2 linked regions of the Notamacropus eugenii genome follow. The protein of the gene in region 1 purifies or fractionates together with the protein of each later gene. This does not show direct contact. Links are inferred from orthologs where the notes say so. Each region holds a gene or a part of one and is shown in the gene's direction. Other genes may lie near its edges.

Region 1 (9,874 bases):
AGACTAGTTGCGTGCAAGTCATTAACCTCTGTCTGCCTCAGTTGTCTCAACTCTAAAATGGGAATAATAGTACCTCCCTCCCACAGTGGTGATCCTCAGATGCCTGGAACATAGCTGATACATAATAAGTGTTTGGTTCCTTCCCTGTGTACAAACAAAATATAGACAGGATAAATTCTAGATAATCACAGAAGGAAGACACAATCATTGAAGGGGGGGCAGGAGATGCTCCTTGCCAAGGTGAGATCTTAGCATATTCCCAACGATGGGCTTGAAGGAAGTCAAAGGAGCCAGAAGATGGAAATGGAGGAGGGAGAGAATTCTTAGTTTTCTTTGAAGTTCAAAATTCAGCTCTAATGCCACTTCCTGTAGGAGACCTTTCCTGATTTCTCCAGCTGCCTATGCCTCCTCCCCTAAATCATGCTGTATTTATTTCATATCAAGATCTCCTGTATACGTATTGTCTCCTCCCTTCCCACCTCTTCTCTCCCACCCCCTAAACCCCCAAAAAAGCTCTCTGAGAGCAGGAGGTCTTTCTTTTTTTTCTTTTTATCCCTAGCATCTAGCCTAGGGTTTGGCACCTAGCAATAAATACTTCTTGATGGATTGATAATCAAAACTAACAAGAAAAACAGTCTGCTGCCAAACAAGACAAAGTAAAAATTACTTTTTTTAGTTTTTTCTCTTAGACTAGAACTCAGAGAACAAAATAGAGAAAAGAAAAACACATCATAAACTTAGAAAAAAGCATGTTATGTGCACAACAAAACATAAGAGGTTTCAAAATCTATAGCAATAAATTTTCATTTTAAGAAAACCTGTATGATAAACACTACATGTTGTTTTGAGAGCTGTCCATCTTTTCTTTGCTTCCTTGTAAGTTTTCTTTTGTTCTCTGTGCACTTTTTACTTTGTTCTTTTTCCCTCCTTCCTACCCTCCCCCCAGGCTACAATTAAGTGAGAATATATTTATGTATAGACATACACATATATATACATACATACATACATACATACGTATATAGACATCTACTTTCCCTAACGAATTCTACACTGGATCTTTATTTTTATGTTTGTGTGTATCTCTTATTTCCTATCCCTCCTGACTCCTCCAGTTTCCTTCTACTTCCTACCTTGCCCTCCTGTTACTTAACCTAGTAAAATGACTTGTGATGAGATTATTATATATGTGGTGGGAATATCAAAATCTCTAAGGAATTTAAATGGCAATGGAATGACACATGGCAGGCACAAGTAGGTGGTAGCATATTTCCAATGGTAACCTAAAGCAAGAAACAGTGTAAGGGGTATCACTGATGAATCACACACTGAGAAAAGGCAGTGGGCCAGTCAGGTGACAGGGATGGCATCTCGTGTAGAACCGACGACAAATGGATTGACTGACAGAACTCGACTGGTACCCATAAAATGTGAAAAGACCTAAAAAAGGCTTCTAGAAGCTAATCCTCTGTGAAGGATCTATGGAAGGATTTGGCACATATTTGTTAAGCATCTCCTACATGCCAGGAACTGTGATCTTATCTATGGAATATTCTCTCTAACATATTCCTGTATAACTTGCCTTTCTGGACCACAACCCATACAAGTCTGCCTATCCTGTCCTATTCTTGTTCATGTCCTCTGCTACATTCAACACACAATGTACATCCAACAATCTAGGAAAGAGAAACACAACACAGTCCCTGACCTCAGAAAGCTTACTGGAAGAACACAGATAGGATGAGACAAGATGTACTCTAATGTCCTTCCAGTCGTGATCTAAGGCATGGATGGGTAGATATTCATGAGGAGAGGGAGTAATCACATGGATAACATCACAGTTCTATTGAAGTATATTTCACACAAGCATTCAAAATTTTTAAAAATGAGGGAAAGGGTAGCACTTAGAAGTTTTGCTGTACTTAAAGGGACACAAAATCCTCTAGATATCTAGTAGACCTAAAGCATAAGCTATGTCTACTAGAATATGACCTATCAATTACTATCTAGTGAATCCCTTCATTTTTAGCCACTAACAATCAGAAGCAGTGGTTGAAAAATAAATCCTCTCCCCTTTGCAGAGTTGAGGGACAAGGGAGGTAGAATACTGTATGTCAGGCACAAGTGATGCATTGATTTGTTTCGCTGAAATATTGTTTTTTCCCTTGTTTAAATTTTATTAGTTGAGATGGCTCACTGGATAGGGGAGAGGGAGGGATTTCTTCAGAAATGATGACAGCAATAAAAATAAGGATAAAAACAAACAATTAGTAAAACTGATCATGGTCAAGCCAATTGGATATTGCTCAAATATTCGGATGGATCTGTGATCTTCCAATAATGTATATATCATACCCCATTCATGCCATTCTGATCCACATCCATCCATCCATTCACCACTAGTCGTCCATTCAGCGTGCTGGGAACCTTTCTCTCTTTCTATGGACATCCTAAAGAAATATAATACTGCAGTACAGGGACTGTCCAACAAGATATTTTATCTTCTTATTCTCTTGTGCTTTTTTTTCATTTTATTTCACTTTTTTTCATTTGTAGAATGAGGACATCTGTAGTACCTATCTCAGAGGACAGTTGTGTTGTTGTGAAACTAGAATGTGATTAGGGTGTTCCAAAACTGTTAACACAGTTTTAGGCTATTAAGTGTGTGAGTATGTATATGCTTTAATACTTTACAAATCTTTAAAGTATCATATTAATATTAATTCTTATTTTACCATGTCTCTCTTCTTTATATTCTTGTTCCATCTGTCTATATAATAATAATAACAATAATTAACATTTAACATTTATATAGCCTTTTAAAAAATTCATTTTGTCATCATGACAACCTTGGAAGGTAGACGCTATTATTATCCCCATTTTACAAATTCAGGAATGAGGCAGATAAAGGTTAAGTCACTTGACCAGGATCACACAACTATTAACTATCTAAGGCAGGATCTGATTGTTTTTGAAAAGACAGGTTTGGAAGTGAATGGAAGGGACAGAGGAACGATTGTCCCCCAGAGAGAATTGATATATGTCTGTGGGATCTTGGGAGAACTTTGAACTGTTTAGGATGTACTTTGTATATTCCACCTTAGAGTTTGATATCTGTTGTCCTGTCACATTTTGGGAAGGGCTTCAGCCAATAGAATCAGGCTTTTGTGATATTAAAAAACACTTTGAGAAGGGGAGAGAGAGAGAGGGAGAGAGGGAGAGAGAGAGACAGAGAGAGAGAGAGAGAGAGAGAAAGAGAGAAAGAAAGAGAGTGTTCCACAGTGGGAAAAGCTGAAGGACAAGGGTAGATTTAGAGTTTATCAGACCTAGGTTGGAATCCCATCTCTACCATTTACCGTGGTGGTCTTGGGCAAGACATTTTGTCTCTAGGTTTCAGTTTCTTCATCTAACTGATCCCTTCTACCACTAAATCCATGATCCTGTTGACATATGAGTCAAATGTAGGGGATAGGTTTGGTATAGTGGGAACATCTTGTAGACATGAGAGACCCTGAAACGAATGTTAGATTCATTCCTTCCCTCAATTCATGTTGACTGAGAGATCACAAAGAGTTGAGTACTAGGTGACTGAAGAAATAGAGAACAGGCCTCAGCCCCTTACCATCTAACACGTCAGGATAAGAGATCCCGAAATAAAATGGCTATTGTTAGTCAGTAACATGAATATCACACAAGATATGTGTGAACACGAAGCCATTTCCGTACTTTCAGTTTATTAAGGAAGGCCACCTGAAAGATGTGAAACAAGAGAGCTTTCTGAAATACAAAGAAAAGGGAAGAGAGGACAGGAAGAGTTGGAAAAAGTTGTTGGGTTAGGGGAACCCAGTGAATGGCCCACAGATAGTTTAGCAGGGGTGGGGGACCTTCGGCCTCGAGGCCACTTGTGGCCCTCTAGGTCCTCAAGGGCGACCCTTTGACTGACTCCGAAGGTTCCCCACCCCTGGATGAGAGGAACAGACTGATAAAGCAAGGGCAGAATCTGACAAAACACCATTGGATTATAGGGTAGAACTAGAAGAGAACTCGGAAGCCCTAGTCCTGATTCACAGAAGAGAAAGCTCAGGCTCAGAGAGGTTAAGCCGTTTGTCCACTGTCACACGGGGGAAGGATTTTAATCCAGGCTCTCTGATTCATTTTCACGAATGCTAGAATTTCTCCGTGTGGGGACTGACTACTTTTACATGGTAGGTGGTAAAGGTAGGACAGCGCTGGCCAAGTTTGCCACAAGGCAGGAGGAGTGAGGATGGCATGTGGGGAAAACTGGATTTCGTGGAAGCGCATCCAGATGTGTAGTCTAGACGACTGCAGTCACAGGCTCAGACACCAAGCCAGGACAAGGGAAGCCTTGCTTGCAGCTTCTCTCACTTATCTAGATGAAGAAAGTGGAGGACAGAGCCAAGGCTAATGAGGTCAATTCCAGCCCGAGGGTTGGCCCCCACATGAAGGTCGGCCCCGGAGGTCTCGCCATGTGGCCCAAGTCCCAAAGAACTAGGCCAGTGACCCCAGGGCTAGAGCCCCACGGGTCCTGGCACCCGGCTTGGCTGGGGAGCCAAGGGAACCCAGGCGTCCTGCGCCCCGCCTCCCGGCTCGCTGTTTCCGGGGCAGCGCGGTTACCTGCATTACCGCGGCAGCACCTGGCGGAGGCGGGGGCAGAGGGAGAGTCGCTGCCGTGACCGCCGCAGAAACCGGAGGAGGGCAGCGAGGCGGGAGAGCCGCGCGGAGGACGGCAGCCCGGAGGACAGGCAGCCCGGAGCCCGGAGTGCCCGGGGCGGCTGGCGCCCGCTCTCAGCTCCGGCGCTAGCGCCCGCGCCCGCTCCGCGCGGCCGGAGCCGGGGAGCCCGCGGCTGGCGAGCGGCTCCCTCCTCCCCTCCGCACCCCCGCCCCGCTCCACTTCCACACGCGCGCACGCTCTGCACCGCTTCGCCTGCCGGGGAGCCGAGCGGCACATGGGCGAGGGAGGCAGAGGACTGCGGTGAGCAGAGAGCGAGGAGGCGGAGCGGAGCCCCGGGCCGGGCCGGGGCCGCAGGGCCGAATGGACAGCGCCGCAGCCCGCACCCGTTAGCGCCGCCCCCTCCCGGTCCCCCCTCGGCGCCCCGTGCCCGCGTGCCGGTGCCGGCTGCGCCCCGGCCAGCCCGGCCTCAGCCCGCCCCCGCCCCCCGCCCCCGCCGCCCCGGGCTGTGCCGCAGGAGCGGGCGCGCTGCCCTTGGGCCGGAGCCACCGCGGCCGCCGCTCCCCCCGCCGCGCCCGGCCATGGGGCCCCCGCTGCTGCATGGGCCCGAACAGCCCCGCCGGCGCCGCTGAGCCCCGGGCCCCCCCAGCCGGGAGCTGCATGGGGGAGCGCGGACCGGCTCGGGAAGATGCCGAGGAAGGAGCTGCCCCTGCCGGAGGGCTGGGAGGAGGCCCGGGACTTTGATGGCAAGGTTTACTACATCGACCACACCAGTCGCACTACCAGCTGGATCGACCCGCGGGACAGGTAGGACGTGGGAGGCGGCGGGAGAATCGCCCTCCCTCCGCCCTGGGGGCCCTCCCGGTGGCACCCCTCCTGCCCCCTCCAGTCCCACTCGGTGGGGGAAGGGGAGGAGGCCGCCCGAGGGTGGGGTGACTCGAGGCTGGGGTATCCGAGGGGCAGGTGTCAGACTTCCTTTTCGCAGAGCACCCTAGAGCTGCAGGAGACTTCAGGGATCAGCCAGCCCAGCCCTTTCTTTTATCGATAAGATTGGTGCCTTTAAAAATGTGCTTTGATGTTTTGGCGGGTGCCTGTATTGGGGGCGGGGGCGGGGCAGGGCTTCCACCATCTTCTTGGCCAAGCACCTGCTCCTGAGAGCCCTCCCTGGTTTCCCAAGACTTAGGGGATGCTCAGATGTCTGGGGTGGCTACTGACAATTTCCAGTGAAGGGGAAAACTCCGCTTCCCTCCTGCAGAGGAACTCTTCCACCTTAAGAGTTGAAAGGGGTCACTGTTGGGGGGTCTTAACTGTCCTAGACCTCGCGGAGGCCACTCACTTCACAAGCTTTTACACACACTCCTCCCATCTTCCAGACGGTAGGGCAAGGAGCTTCTTCCTACAAGGAAACATCAGTGAGTGCACCTGTTTGAACTACAGGGCCTTTTCTCGGAAAGTAACTAGTTGTTGTTCAAGAATGCCCCCACCAGTCTTGTCCCATTATTTTCCCCTGCCCCCAGAACTACCTGAGCAAGTAAAAAGGTAAGACTTGGAGAAAAAAAGGAGAGATTGGACAGACTAGATGTCCTTAGGAATACAACAGGGCCTTTTAGAGCTAGAGTTTCTAAAGAGTGTGGTTCCCCAACATCTGGGAAATATGAGTGTTTGGAGGAGTGGGGCCTAGGAAAAAGTCAGTACCCAGAGGAAGTAGATGGATAAGGTATAGGTCTGGAAGGTGGTAAGGACTAAGAGAATACAAGGGAAAAGCAGGGATTGAGTCAGTAAAGAAGCCTTAGGCCTTAGGGAGCTGAGGTCTGTGCAGTTATCACACACTCAAGTGGCCATCAAAGGCTCCCATAAAGGAATTGGGGGGGGGGCAGGGGTATGGGGAGGCAACCAGTGAGCTGAAAGGAAGCAGAAATGACAGGAAGATGAGTGAGAGGGGAGGCTATGAGGGAGGGTGGGGAAACCCAGATAGCCTGCAACCTGGGCTGAGCAGCTTGGCTCACCAAGAATGTCACAGCTACTTGGAAGCTGTTATAATGTTAATGGAGGTGAGAGGCCTCTCTTGTACCCATTGTGACCATTTCCTCCTCCTCCTCTTTCTTCCCACTCTAGAACTTCTCACCCCATGCTTTTGCACTAGAAGGAGCAGGGATATATATGTCCTGGCCCTGGTGGGAACAATAATTCCCTCCTCCTCCGAGCAACACTCGGTGCTTATTTTTCTAAGGAGATATTTGTAAAGTGCTTGGAACAGTGTCTGACGCATAATAAGCGCTTAATAAAGTGCCTATTCTCTTACGTTCCCCTTTTTTGCTAAAAGGCAGATGATGAGAAGGCCCAAGGGGCTGCCCCTTCACTGTTCCCCACTTCTGAGAGTCCTGGCCAATCAGTGCGTTTTGGGTTCCAATTTCTCCAAAGTGGTCTTTGAAAGTATCCAATATGAAATGCCCTATCTACCTTTGGTATTATGGTCTACAAAGTACTAAGACCCATGGAGATGATATAGGTTGGATCCCTCATAGCTGGTATGAGTGCCCTGTGGCATTTAGGTACCTATAAAATGAAGTCCCTAGAAAGTCAGCTGAAAGGGGAAGGCACCAGGAATCCAAGACTCGATACTCTTTCACTGATGGCTATCCTGATGAATCCTTGCTCATTTCTTTCTTCTTAGCTTTCATAAGATCATAGGATCATAAATTTAGAACTGGAAGTCCTAAAGAGGTTAGGTGACTTGTCCAGGGTCACACAGCTAGTAAGTGTCTAAGAGAAGATCTGAACCCTGCTCTTCTGACTCCAAGTCCAATACTCTATTCACTGCCTCATGCTAGAAATTTGATATTTATTTCAAGTTCTATAGGATTCCTGATATAGAACTAGAAAGAACCTTAGACACCATCCAGCCCAACCCCCTCATTTTACAGATGAGAAGACTGAGGCCCAAGAGAGGTTAAATAACTTTTACGAGGTCACATAGGCCCTCTGATACCAGAGTCAGTACTCATTCCACTGTACCATACTGCATGGTCACACATACCAGTGACCCTGTTCTAGAATCATCAGACAGATCAGCTGTGCCCTCAGACTTTTCTTGCCATGGCCTCTCAGAAGAAGCCAAGGGCTCAAGATCTCAGAAACTTTCTTTTCCCCTGCCCACTTCTCAAAGGGAACCCTCTCCAGATCCACCTAAGCATCCACATGTATGTTCCTGGGTTTCCAGGGCATTGGGAATCCCTAAAGATTCAAACCCTAGTTGCTGCCCCTCCTTCTACACAAATATAAATATGCTCATTTGTTGAGGGGTTAAACTGGATAATCTCAAACTCTCTTCCAATTCTAACATCCTATTAGTTCTATAATCTCCACCCCTTGGAGGCCCTGATACAAAACATTTCCTCTGGCAGACTAGCCCCCTTGCTGATATGGATTGCTCAGTATTATGAGATGGAATTGGGTCTTATGATTTTTTGTGTAGATTCTAAGGATGCTGGCTTTAAGAATTTGGAATTGTGTTGATTCTGAATGTCATCTGATTTGGGAATGTGTGGAATTTAGGGAAGTAGTGTAGGGCAGGAGAAAGAACGCTACTTCTGAAGTCAGAAGTTGTTGTTGAGTCATTTCAGTCATGTCTGACTTTCTTTGTGACCCCATTTTGGAGTTTTCTTGGCAAAGATATTGAAGTGGTTTGCCGTTTCCTTCTCCAGCCCATTTTATCAATGAGAAACTGAGGCAAACAGGGTTAAGTGACTTGCACAGGGTCACACAGCAGAGGCCAGATTTGAACTTAGGAAGATGAGTCTGCTTGACTCCAGGCCTGTTATTCTATCCATTACCCCATCTGGCTGCCCTTGGAGTCAGAAGACCTGAGTTCAAATCCCACCTTTGGCATTTACTTCTTAGGTGACTTTGGACGAGTCACCTAACCTCAGTACATTTGTACAGTTTGTACAAATGTACATTAATACATCTGTAAAATGATGAGGGTTGGACTACAAAGCTACTGAGGACTCTTCCAGCTCTAAATCTGTGATCCTGTGATATGGGGGTGGGGTGGGGCAAGATACAATGGAAAGAGCATTGGTTCTGGGGTCAGAGGATCTGAATTTAAACCCTTCCCTGTGTGACTGGGACAGTCATTTTTACTTTCTTAGGCCTCAAGTTTCCTTATGTATAAAATGAGGGGGCTGGACTAGATGAAATCTCTTCCAACTCTAGGTCTCTTATCCTTTGACCTTTTCCTGATGACTTGCTTACCAGCAACTGTGTTCTAGTAGTGTATGCTATAGACAAATTACTTCCCCTTTCTGACTCTTCAGTTTCCTCACATGTAAAAAGAAAGGCTTTTGTGGTGGATGGGAAAGAATACTGGATTTGGAGTAAAAAGATCCAAAAAGATCCCAGCATTACCACTCAGCCATCTACATGAACTGGCACGTCATCTCGTGGCCTCAGTTTCCTCATCTGTAAAATGGACTGGGAAGAAGCTGGGCTAGATGCTTTCCAAGGTCCCTTCACAAAAGACTATAGTCTTTTAGTGATCAATGATTGCCCCCCCCCCCCCCCCTTTGCATTCCCTGCACCTAGCATAATGCCTTGCACACAGTAAGCATTTAATAAATGGTTGTCAAATTCTAGCTCTAGATTGAGGCTTCTATGGTGAAGTGACTCTAAGGGCTCTTCTAGCTTTAAAATTCTATGCTCTTCTAAGAATTCTGCATCTCTGCAGACCTCCTGACACTGAGGCTGGATGGAAGGTGAAGGGCTGTGGGGAGGAGGAGGCGGCGTGACTCCAACTTTAACAAAGCTAAATGCAGTACAGTTCCTTCTTAGAGGGGGTAAGATCCTGCCAAGGTAATTACATGTCTAAAACTAGTTAATGCTTTAAAACAAGATGATTTTCTTTTCTTCTCTGGCAATTGTATTTTTTTTTGCCCTGGCTTTTTCCTTACTCGATTAAAAGATGCCCACACATCCCTCCATCTAGGGAAGTTATGTAGAATGATCGTTTATTTAGTCAGAAAAGTAATTTCTTAGCCATGGTGGAGAGAACAGACTCTCCAGTTACCAACTCGAAAGAATGTCTTGGCACATTCCTCCCTCTGGGGGTAAAGCTGTTTTGTGTGCTGTCCTGCGGATGGAGGGAGGCTGCTGGGGGTAGGGAATCCGATTTAAGGCTTCCCTTTC
Region 2 (9,674 bases), on another chromosome or scaffold:
TCCGTCCATCCGTCCGTGGCCAGGTCCGCTCCGTCGGTGCCTTTGCCCGCTGGCAGCAGGCACGCCCCTTCTCTCCTCCAGGGCATCTCCGGCCGCCACCGCTGCCCCCACCACCCGCGCCCAGCAGAGACCACAAGGGCGGCTCAGCGCTGCGGCGCCCAGCCCCCGGCTCGGACCACCTGAGCCCGAGGTAAGGCAGCCTGGCAGGCTGGCAGGCAGCCGGCCCGGGGAGCGGGGGGAGCGGGGGGGGGGGGGGGGGGGGGCACTTGGGACGGCGCGAGCGGCCGGGCGAGAGCACACGCGTGCCCCTGGTAGAAGGCAGCCCGTGAGGAGCCCCGCGGAGCTGCCTCTGGCCCCGTGGCCATCTGGGGCTGGAGCCCCTTGGCCCCCCGACCCCCCACCCCGCGTCGTGGTCCGTGGGTGCCCCAGCCGAGCAACGGTCTCGAACTCTCTCCCCTAACTGTCTGTGCAGAAGCCTGCTGTGCATGTGGCCCAGGCGCCCAGTTATGGACTCGACGACTGAATTTGTGAGGAGCCAGGGGTGCTGATTCCAGTGACAATCGGCATAGACTGGCAACAGATAATGAACTTAGAGCCAAGGGCAACCCGGGTCAAAAGAGACGGGGAAGAAAGGGACCCGGGCTGTTTGGCACTTTCTCCTCTTAGCAGACACTTTCAACTTTTAGATTTATCCAGTGCATTTGGAGTGAGGGTGGGGGGAAAAAAGGAGGAATAGAATGTTATAGTTGTTCCAGATGTTCATGGACTGATCGCCCTCCCCCCCCCCCCCCCACCTCCCATCCATAAATCAGTCATTCTTCAAGGCTGGGTGAGAGGTGCCCAGTGTGGTAGAGTGAAGGGCTCTGGGTGGAAGGGGCGTCTAGAGCCATGAGTTTGAATCCCACCAGGTACTTCCTTGCTGTGGGACATTGGACAAGTCATCCACCCACCTTATGCCTCAGTTTCCTCATCCTGTACCCTGGGAATGTTTCATACTTCTCACATTTGCCTTCAAGGAGTTGTGCTGGGAGGTTTAAACTAGCCAGTGCCCAAGCTGTGAGTGTCCAGCCCTGACTAACCAGGCAGCCTCCCTCATTCCAGAAGCTAGGACCACATCAGGTTAGGCTTGTGGCACCCATTTAGGGGACACACATTTGGAAGGCTCAGCTATGCTCTTGTCCAGTCTCCTCGAACAGCACCCTCATCAGGTTGCTATAAAGTAGTTTGAAATTGGATTTGGGGCAAAGGAGAGGTGGGGAGGGGCTCTTCACCTCTCTGTTATTTTTAGGACATCACTAAGACCATGACCATGGTTGTGGTCCCAGCCCAGCTCTGAGCCTCTGAGCCTGTTTCCCTCCCCCCACCCCCCCCTCCACCCCTCCACCCCCCGGCCCCAAGATATGTCCGATTGCCTTTTAGAGTTTTTCTTTGCTTGACTTGGGGGAGGGGAGGGGGAAGGGGAGGGCTGGCACACAAGCAGGCAGGGGAAAGGGGAGGTTATTGGGTGCCAATTTTAAAGGGTATAGCATTTCAGATCAGCTGGAAGAGAAGAGTTGGACTGACCAAATTGTGCATTTTCTAGGCAGCCTGGGACTCATTAATGGCCAGGTGCTTCTATGGAGTGGTTCCTTCCATTTCCAGCTGCTAACTCCTATTTTCAGCCCAAATCCAGAGCCTTGTATTCCATGCCTGTTGGGTGACCTCAACTACCATTTTCTGTACCTCTACTTTCCACAGACCTCTTTCTTTGGAGAAGTTACAGTATCAGTGGGAAGGTTCCTAGATTGGGGAGGGGGGGAGGGCATGGAAAGAATGCTAGGAGGGCATTTAATATGATTTCCTCATTTTACAGAGAAAAATACTGAGGCCCACAAACAGGGCAAGACTTAACCAAGGTCACACTTCAGTGAATGACGATTCTTGGTTACATGATCCAAATATGACATTCGAAGCCCCAGTGGAGAAAGTAACTGTTTTCTTTGAAGTGCATTCTCCGTATTGCTCAAACATGCTCTGGGCATGAGCCCATGAGAGCAGGGGTGTGAACACACACACACACGTGCACACACACATATATATACACACACACACACTTAAAAGAGCTCTGATTTAATACACAGGAAGGCACTGATTCCAACCCTTCATGCAGTTTTTTGTCTTTGTTTAAAAAAAACCAAAACCTGTCCTTTAGTGTAGAGACTAGTGTAGATACTCAGAGCATTGCCTGAGAGGTAGGAAAAAAAAGTGACCTGAGTGTGTCAGTGTGAGGACTAGAACCCAGGACTGAAGGACTCTAAGGAAATCTCTCCATCCATTAGGAAACACGGTCGTTTTTCCCACCTTCATTTCCTTAAATCTTTTGAAGACTTTCTACCTAACAGGTTGAAAATATCCCTTGTACCCTTTGAGTGTTGGGAGTATCTTGTGTTGCCCAGGTCTGTGGGATGACGCATGGAACTATTTCAACTTTTGACATCTTGTTTTTCTATTCTGCAGAGTTGAAGTTTTTTAAACAAAACCTAGTTGAAAATTTGGCGGGGAATGCTGTCTTTGAGGTTGGGGACTTTTTAAAGACTAAGATAGAAAATTCTTTTTTCTAGAATGGGATGAGCCCTCCCTGAGCCCAAAGGCAGGGGCATGGCCTAGCTGACCTCTTGATCCCGGACACATCAGCCTCTGTGCTTCCTTGCAGGGTCTGCTCATCCTTTAAAAGGGTGGCTTTATAATTCCTCAGCCCTTTCTTTCTGTCATTCCTCCACTTAGGAATGAGGCTTAGGGAAAAGTCCAGCTTTTGAAGGCATTCCCCCTGCCCCACCCCAATTTGGATGCAAGATGAGTTTCTCACATTTTTCCTTCCCCTTGGGTCTCTTCAGTTTCTCCCCAAGATCTGCAGTTCTGTGTCAAGGAGGGGGAGGCCGATCTTGAGGAGATGCAGAGAAATGCTTGCAGCCAGGTACCTTCCTCCATGGCGACTGAGCATTTGGAATGCACCCATCGAACCCAGTTGAAACCCATGGGAGTGATGGGGGGGGGGAGGTCTTTTAGAATGGTGACTGGGCAAATGTACCCAGGCTGCTGGGGCTGAGCATCTTCCCTCCCCCCCCTCATTCAGCTGCTGCCAAACAAGTGACTTGCTAAGTTACAAGGAGTTCCTGTCTGTTCTGAATGGAGGGTTCTCCCCCTTCTAACTGGTGTGTGTGTGTGTTTGTGTGTGTTTGTGTGTGTATGTGTGTGTGTGTGTGTGTGTGTGTGTGTTCCACCTTTGGCTCCGTTTCTTTTGCTTTCTGAATGTCTCTGAAATCAAGGGCTTCTTTCTCCACTCAGAGGTGCACGTTTCTCCCCCAAGGTCATCATGATGACCAAGTGAGAGGGTCTGGGTGAAAAGCGTTTGACAAACTTCTGAGTGCCTCTATATGTAGAGGGTTCTGTTATTGTTGGAAGAGTCAAATAACCAGGGTGGCCACAGGGTCAATGACCAGAGCAGCTGGATGTCCTAGGTTTGAATCCCACCTCAGGTGCTTAACTCAGTCTCAGTTTCCTCATCTGTAAAATGGAGATCTATCTCCCTGGGCTGTCCTAAGGGTCAGATGAGGCAATGTCAACTTTCTAGTCCTACTATTGAGGCCTCGAAGCAGTCCCCTCCCCCACCCATTCCTATTGATTCCTCTGTACCCTGAGAGAGGAGGAGAGCCATCTCCCTTGTCTGCTTCCCTCCCCCTTATGTTTTGGTGAAGATGAATACTGTAGACAGGCTAAAGTGAAGCCCATAGTACACTAGTGGGAGTGGGCCTTTGTGTGGAGGGGCCCTCGAGATGCCCCAACTCACCATTGAGGGGCCCCTGGCTTTGGGGAAGAATACACTGGGGCTTTGTCTAAAATAACCAGCTCCCTTTGAAAGAGCCTTGCTTTACACCAATTCAATTAAGCAGCAGCAGCAGCAGCCGCTGCCGCCACCGCCGCCAAAATGCTGCCTTTTCAGGGCCACATCTGGTATTGGGGGCCTACTTGGCAAAATTAGCAGCAGCCTAAAGGCTCTGGTCTAGGTGACCCAGCAAGATCCTGAGGCAAGCCTGCCACTCCCAAGTCAGGAACAAATGACCTTTGCTCCAGGGGTTCCCTGTGAGGGGAAACTGTGATGGCTCCCTGACCTTTTCTGGGAAGAAAAGAGACTCCATAGGTTGAGTGATTGAGAGCTGGGAGAAGCAGGGGAGGCTGTGAGGGAGGGGGGCACATGGCAGGGCTGCTGTGTTCCTTCTTCATAGAGGCCAGAGCATTGGGGTTCTAGCACTTCTGAGCCGACGTTCTTCCCCACGTTTTTACAGGGAGTGCAGGGTTTTGTGCCCACTGCAACAGAAGGACACCTCATTAGGCAATTACTGCCATGGATTCCCTATGTGACCTTGGACAAATCCCTTCCCCTTCCACAGCCTCAGTTTCTTCCTCTGTCAAAAGAAGGAGTTGGGATAGGCAACCTCGGAGCATCCCATTCTGAGCTCCTCCCTACCCTTCCCGTATGGGCCTCAAATTCCTGCTCTTGCAGTGTGAGGCTCGCTGGGAGTCTGGAAAAGAAGATGGGGTGGGGGAGGGGGGAAGAAGAGGGAGGGGGCAACGGAGGAAATGCTCCACCACCTCTCTCCTAGGCTGGCTGTCTCGGACAAGGATTAGGTTTGGTCTGTCTGACCCCAGAGGGAAAAACTGAGAGAGGAAGGGGAAGCTGGCTGTGAATCAGTGAGCATTTATTAAATGTTGCTTACTGTGTGCCTGGCACATTGGTACGTGCTGGAGAAACAGAAAAAGCACAGACTGGCCCCTGACCTCTGGGAGCTCATGCTGGACCGGAGGGGACATGTATACCTAGAGATCCAGGGATCCAGAGGGCATAGATGTAAGGTAACCTCAGAAGGGAAGGCTCCAGCAGCTGGGGCTGAGGAGTGGAGGGAGACGGAGACAGACAGTCAAATTTAGGCTTGCTGTCAGGAAAGTCTTCCTAATGCTGAGGGCTAGCCCAGAGTGGACGGGGCTGCCTACGAAGGAAATTCAGTTTCTCCTCTCTCCTCCATTTGTCTGGCCTATAGTGAAGGGACTGCTTCAGATCTGGCTTGGACTAGGTCGTTTCTGAGGCCCCTTGGGGTTCACACTCCGTGCCTCCATGGGGGTGGCCTTTTGCCAGCTGGTTTTCTGCTCGGGCCTCATGTGCTTTCCTGGGGTGGCCATTTAGGTGGAAAGGTAAAGCCTGGGGGAGATGGATGCTAATGATATTCCCTTTAATGCCTGTGCGTTCATTGCCTTTCAGTATCAGGTCTCTGAGGAGGCCTCCCTGTGCATGTGTGTGCCCGTGACGTGGGCCCAGTGCATCCTGTGTGGGATCTTGTGCGGCGGTGGTGTGTTCCGGGAGTGCTGACAGAGCGTTGGAGCTTTGGTGAGTTGGCCCCACTGCATTCTCTGCCTTTGAGGATGCTTATGTACCCGCCAGGCCATCGTTTTCTAGTTGCCCCACAGGGAAAGGCAAGGTTTGCGGTTTGCTCCTAAATCATCCGGCAGTGCTGCTTAGGGCAGGGTGTCATGACACCCTGTAAAGACAACCTCAGCCTGGGTGTGCCAGGAATGCTTCGGGAATGAGGGAGGCCCAGGAGGGAGGAGGGGGGGGGTGGGAAACACAAATCACTTTCTTTAATGACCTTGAGAATAATGGGACCTGTCGAAATGAGATTTAGCTACAGGAAAGAGACAAAGAACGGGAAAAGCACTTGGGCAAGCTTGGCAGGTACTAAGGGCCTCGAATCAGGGACCTCTGGGAGGGGAGGTTCAAGGCCGATTTGCCGTTGCCGCTCTTTGCTGCTTTTCAGGAATGAGCTTTTTTCTGGGATTCTGGCAGAGAGCCTGGGCTTGTGGTTGTGTGCTTGGGAGGTTGGGGCAGAGGGCAGCTGGCAGGGAGGCCTGCCTCCATGGATCAGGACATACCTGAGCTGCGAAAGGTAAAGTTGCTGTGACTGGGCTACCTGGGATTGGCTGAAGGGAGGAATGATGGGAGGAGCTTCCAGTGAGTGATGGAGTTTACCATCTTCAGCCTGGTGAGTGAGTGACCTGTCCCATCCAGGGCTAAGCCCTTGGCTTGGTTGGCTGGGTTGCCAGGCCTTCTGGGAACTCCTGACAGACTGGCACCCACTTCTAGCTATGGCTGAATAAAACCTCCATAGCAGTGAATTCTGGGATTGCCTTGCTGGAATGGGATGACCAGGACTCTGAGGTTTTGGGGAGAGTCTTGGACTCTGAAATATGAGGTCTTCAGTTCCAATCCCTGCTCTGTCAGTTGCCGCCTATATGACCTTTGGCAAGTGGCTTCATTACCCTGGGCCTCAGTTTCTTGCTCTGAAAAGGATCCCATTCTCTAAGGTCTTTTACATCTCTAACTCTAGGATCTCATGGTCATTAGAGTAGATAAGCTTACAGAGTGCAGACCTAGAGGCAGCTACATGTAGGCCAATGAGTCAAGCACTAGGTTTGGAGTCAAGACGACCTGAGTTCAAATCTTTCCCCAGATACTTATTATAACTGTGTGATCCTGGACAACTCACTCAACCTTTCTCAGTCTCAGTGTCTCCATCTGTAAAATGAGGACAATAATAGCCCCTACAACTGGGTCCCAGTTAGTGCAAATAATGATCATATGCTTTCAAATTCACACTATTCAAAGTTAAAATTTTTATAAAATATGGCATTTGGTTGTAGCCCAATAGAAAAGTGCAGTGGGAATTCAAGTGACCTGTTTGGGTGGAGGATTGAGAAAGACAGTAAATGGAATGTTTATAAATGGGAGCTATTATTTAAAAAAATATCTGCAAAGCCATTCCTTTGACATTGCTAGCTTTGAGATGGTGACTTGTCATCAACTCAGAAAGTGTTAATGTGGGGACTGGGCAGCATTTGAAGGTACATTCCCAAAGCCACCCTGATTTGCTATGTGGCCTGGGGTGACTCAAGTTCTCTGGGCCTGGCTTGCTCTTCTATGAAAAAAGAATGGGAAGGATTCATAGAGATTCTGAGGCTTCCAACAATCTGGGCCTCCATGTCCTCCTCTGGAAGAAGTACTTCTAAGATCTCCCTCTGAATCTATGATTCTTGATACACATCAGACTTAGTGATCTAGTGAAAAGGCTTTTAATAAAAAAAAATTGGATTGTAAATTTAGAGCCAGATCTCTGAGGTTTGTGAGCCCCACTCTCCCATTTTCCGGAGGAAAACACTGAGGCTGACAGAGGAATGTGAGTTACCCACAGTCACACTGGTGGCTGGAATTCTAACCCAGTCCCCCTGATCCCCCATTCAGCCTTACCACCTACTATCGTAGGGTGTCTTTTTAATGAAGTTGGCTTTTCTTCTGATCCTTCACCCCTTTCTTCTAGCTGATGTGCAATGCCCTGTGGCAGTCTGTAGCCAAAAGTGATGGTAGGTAGGATTGTCCAGCCCTGCTCTCTTGCCTAGCCCCTCCCCGCCCCCTCCCTCACAAGCAGGGGCTGTGAGGCCTCATCCCTTTAGGTGAATATCTTGCTTGATCCACAGGAGAGCTCCTTAAGAAACATCTTGCAGAGCAGTGAGGACTGGAATGTGCCCAATGAAGGTTTTAAAGCTTTTCAGCCTTGTCCAAAAGATTAAAGAAAGGGTGTGGGGGAAGGGAGATTCGCTAAGGGTGGCGGGGAGGGGCAAAAGTCAAGCTTTTAGAGGAAGATTTGCCTTATGTCACCTATTGATGGTAGCCAGGAACTGAGGCCTGCCTCACCACAACTGGCTTTTATCAGGGCTACCAGGAGCACACGCATTGCCATGCATGGCAAGCCGTCAAGGTGGACAAACCGAGAAGGAGGATTGGGTGTCTGTGCACCCCACTCTACCCACCCCACCCCCACCCCAGCATCTGGCCCACTCCCTGACTGCCATTCTTACACAACCCCCTGCCCCGAGAGCATGGAGCTTGACCCCCCCCCCCAACCCCAGTAAGGACAAATGATGCGCCAGAAGCAGTTTGCTCACTTTTCCTAAGGTCGCTAAGGCTGAGGCACGGAGAGGTGTTCCCCCAAAGCCCGTCTTCCCTGCACATGGTCCTCATTATCCCAGAGGCCTGGACTCCATCAGAGAAGGAGCCGAGAAACCCCAGGCCTTGGGGTGAGGGAGGAGAACATGTTTGGCATATTTGTGGGGAGGGGGTTGCTGACATCACAGAATGTAGTGGGATGAGTATTCCCAGGGACAGCGGTGAGACAGCCGAGGTTCTGGGGGTGCTCTGATTGTTTCCTTCCTTCTTTGCTTTCTTTAAAAAGACAGGAAAGAGACCATACAAATGTTGGCCAGGTCGGACACACTTTTCTGAAATTGTTTGGGGAGAGTCAAGTCTGAGACTGGCCCTTAGAAAACTCTGATGTGCCCTGCCCCCTTCCAATCCACTCAACTCCACTCATTTGGGCTATTTCCAAAGAGTAGAAATTTGTACTGAATTAGTGAGATTCCTTCTCCCCAAAGCCCAATCAAGATCTAAATCCCAGACTTGGGGGCCAGCATTGTGCCCTTGGTAGCAGAGATGAGCATGGATATATCTGTTTGGGAGAAATCTGATTTCCCTGTCATTCATTTGGCCTCTCTCTTCTGGCTTCCTTGCCCTCTCCTTCCTGGGACCTCACCGATGCCTGGTGGCTATGATGGACGGTGGCCCAGGCTGGTGGCTTGGCTGTCCAGAACACATCCAGTCAGCCACATAACATTTGAGGTTGACTCTATAAGACATTTGTGTTTCTGACCAGTCAGGTCATGGGGTGTTGGCAGCCCAATGGCAAGGTTCCTGGGCCATTGATATCCTTCTCTATATTATGGATTAGAGGGAAGGACAGTATACAGCTTGAGGTTTGTGGCCAAGGCCTGAGATGATAATTCTTGGTCTCCAGGTCCTTTTGGTGCTTTCCCGGATCAAGCAGGTGTTGGGATTCTTTGAGAGAGGAGAATGTTGGCTGAAAGATTTCCCTGTGCTTGAGGTGATTTCCGCCCAAGCTTCCCTGGGCAGGCCAAAGAGCCTGTGGAGTTGGATCAGGACAGGTAGTGGCAGGAAGGAAGGGAAGGGGTGGGAGGAACCAGTCTCCCTTTCCCTCCTCTTCTCTCCCTCCTCTCTTCTGCTCTGCCTCATCTCCTTGGGGAGTGACTCAGGCCCTTTGGTATGAACTTCTGGAACGCTGGCTTCCAGCCCTGCACCTGCTCCATGGCACACCTGTGCTCACCCAGTACCTGAGCCAAGGATTCAGCGTGGCAGAGTGAGTCCCTGAGTGTGTGCTGAGCCTTATTCCCCCCACCACCCTGGCCCTCACTCGGCCTCGAAGGCTGTGTGCTGACCTACTCTGCTCTCCTTGGAGGCCAGCCTCTTGGGAATCCTAGGGGAAGATTTGTCTGTTTATGAAGGACCCACAGACCAGAGCTGGGAGCCTTTGGAGTCCTGGTTCCCCACCTGTCCCACTTGGATAACTGAGGCAGACTCTGGTTTACAGGTAGAAATCCACCAGCCCCTTGGGTATACAGGGGACAAAACTAAGCCCAACGGGAAAGAGACTTTGCCCAAAGTTACACAAGGAACAGCATGGGGGCTTGAACCCAGCACCTCCAAACTAAGTTCTCCCTGGGTTTCAGTTGCCCTAGTT

The links. The genes of interacting proteins can lie anywhere in the genome.
Region 2: the proteins of WWC1 (region 1) and AMOT purify together in Homo sapiens (affinity purification with mass spectrometry; 3 studies listed by BioGRID and IntAct, with this or other methods). This does not show direct contact. The link is inferred for Notamacropus eugenii from reciprocal best matches to the Homo sapiens genes WWC1 and AMOT.

What each region holds. Positions count from the first base shown.
Region 1 is NC_092872.1:399,337,903-399,347,776, forward strand, and holds the start of WWC1 (protein KIBRA), read left to right. Parts: upstream 1-5,222; 5' UTR 5,223-5,378; coding exon 5,379-5,497; intron 5,498-9,874. UniProt on the Homo sapiens protein: Regulator of the Hippo signaling pathway, also known as the Salvador-Warts-Hippo (SWH) pathway.
Region 2 is NC_092879.1:97,025,327-97,035,000, forward strand, and holds the start of AMOT (angiomotin), read left to right. Parts: upstream 1-5,310; 5' UTR 5,311-5,419; intron 5,420-9,674.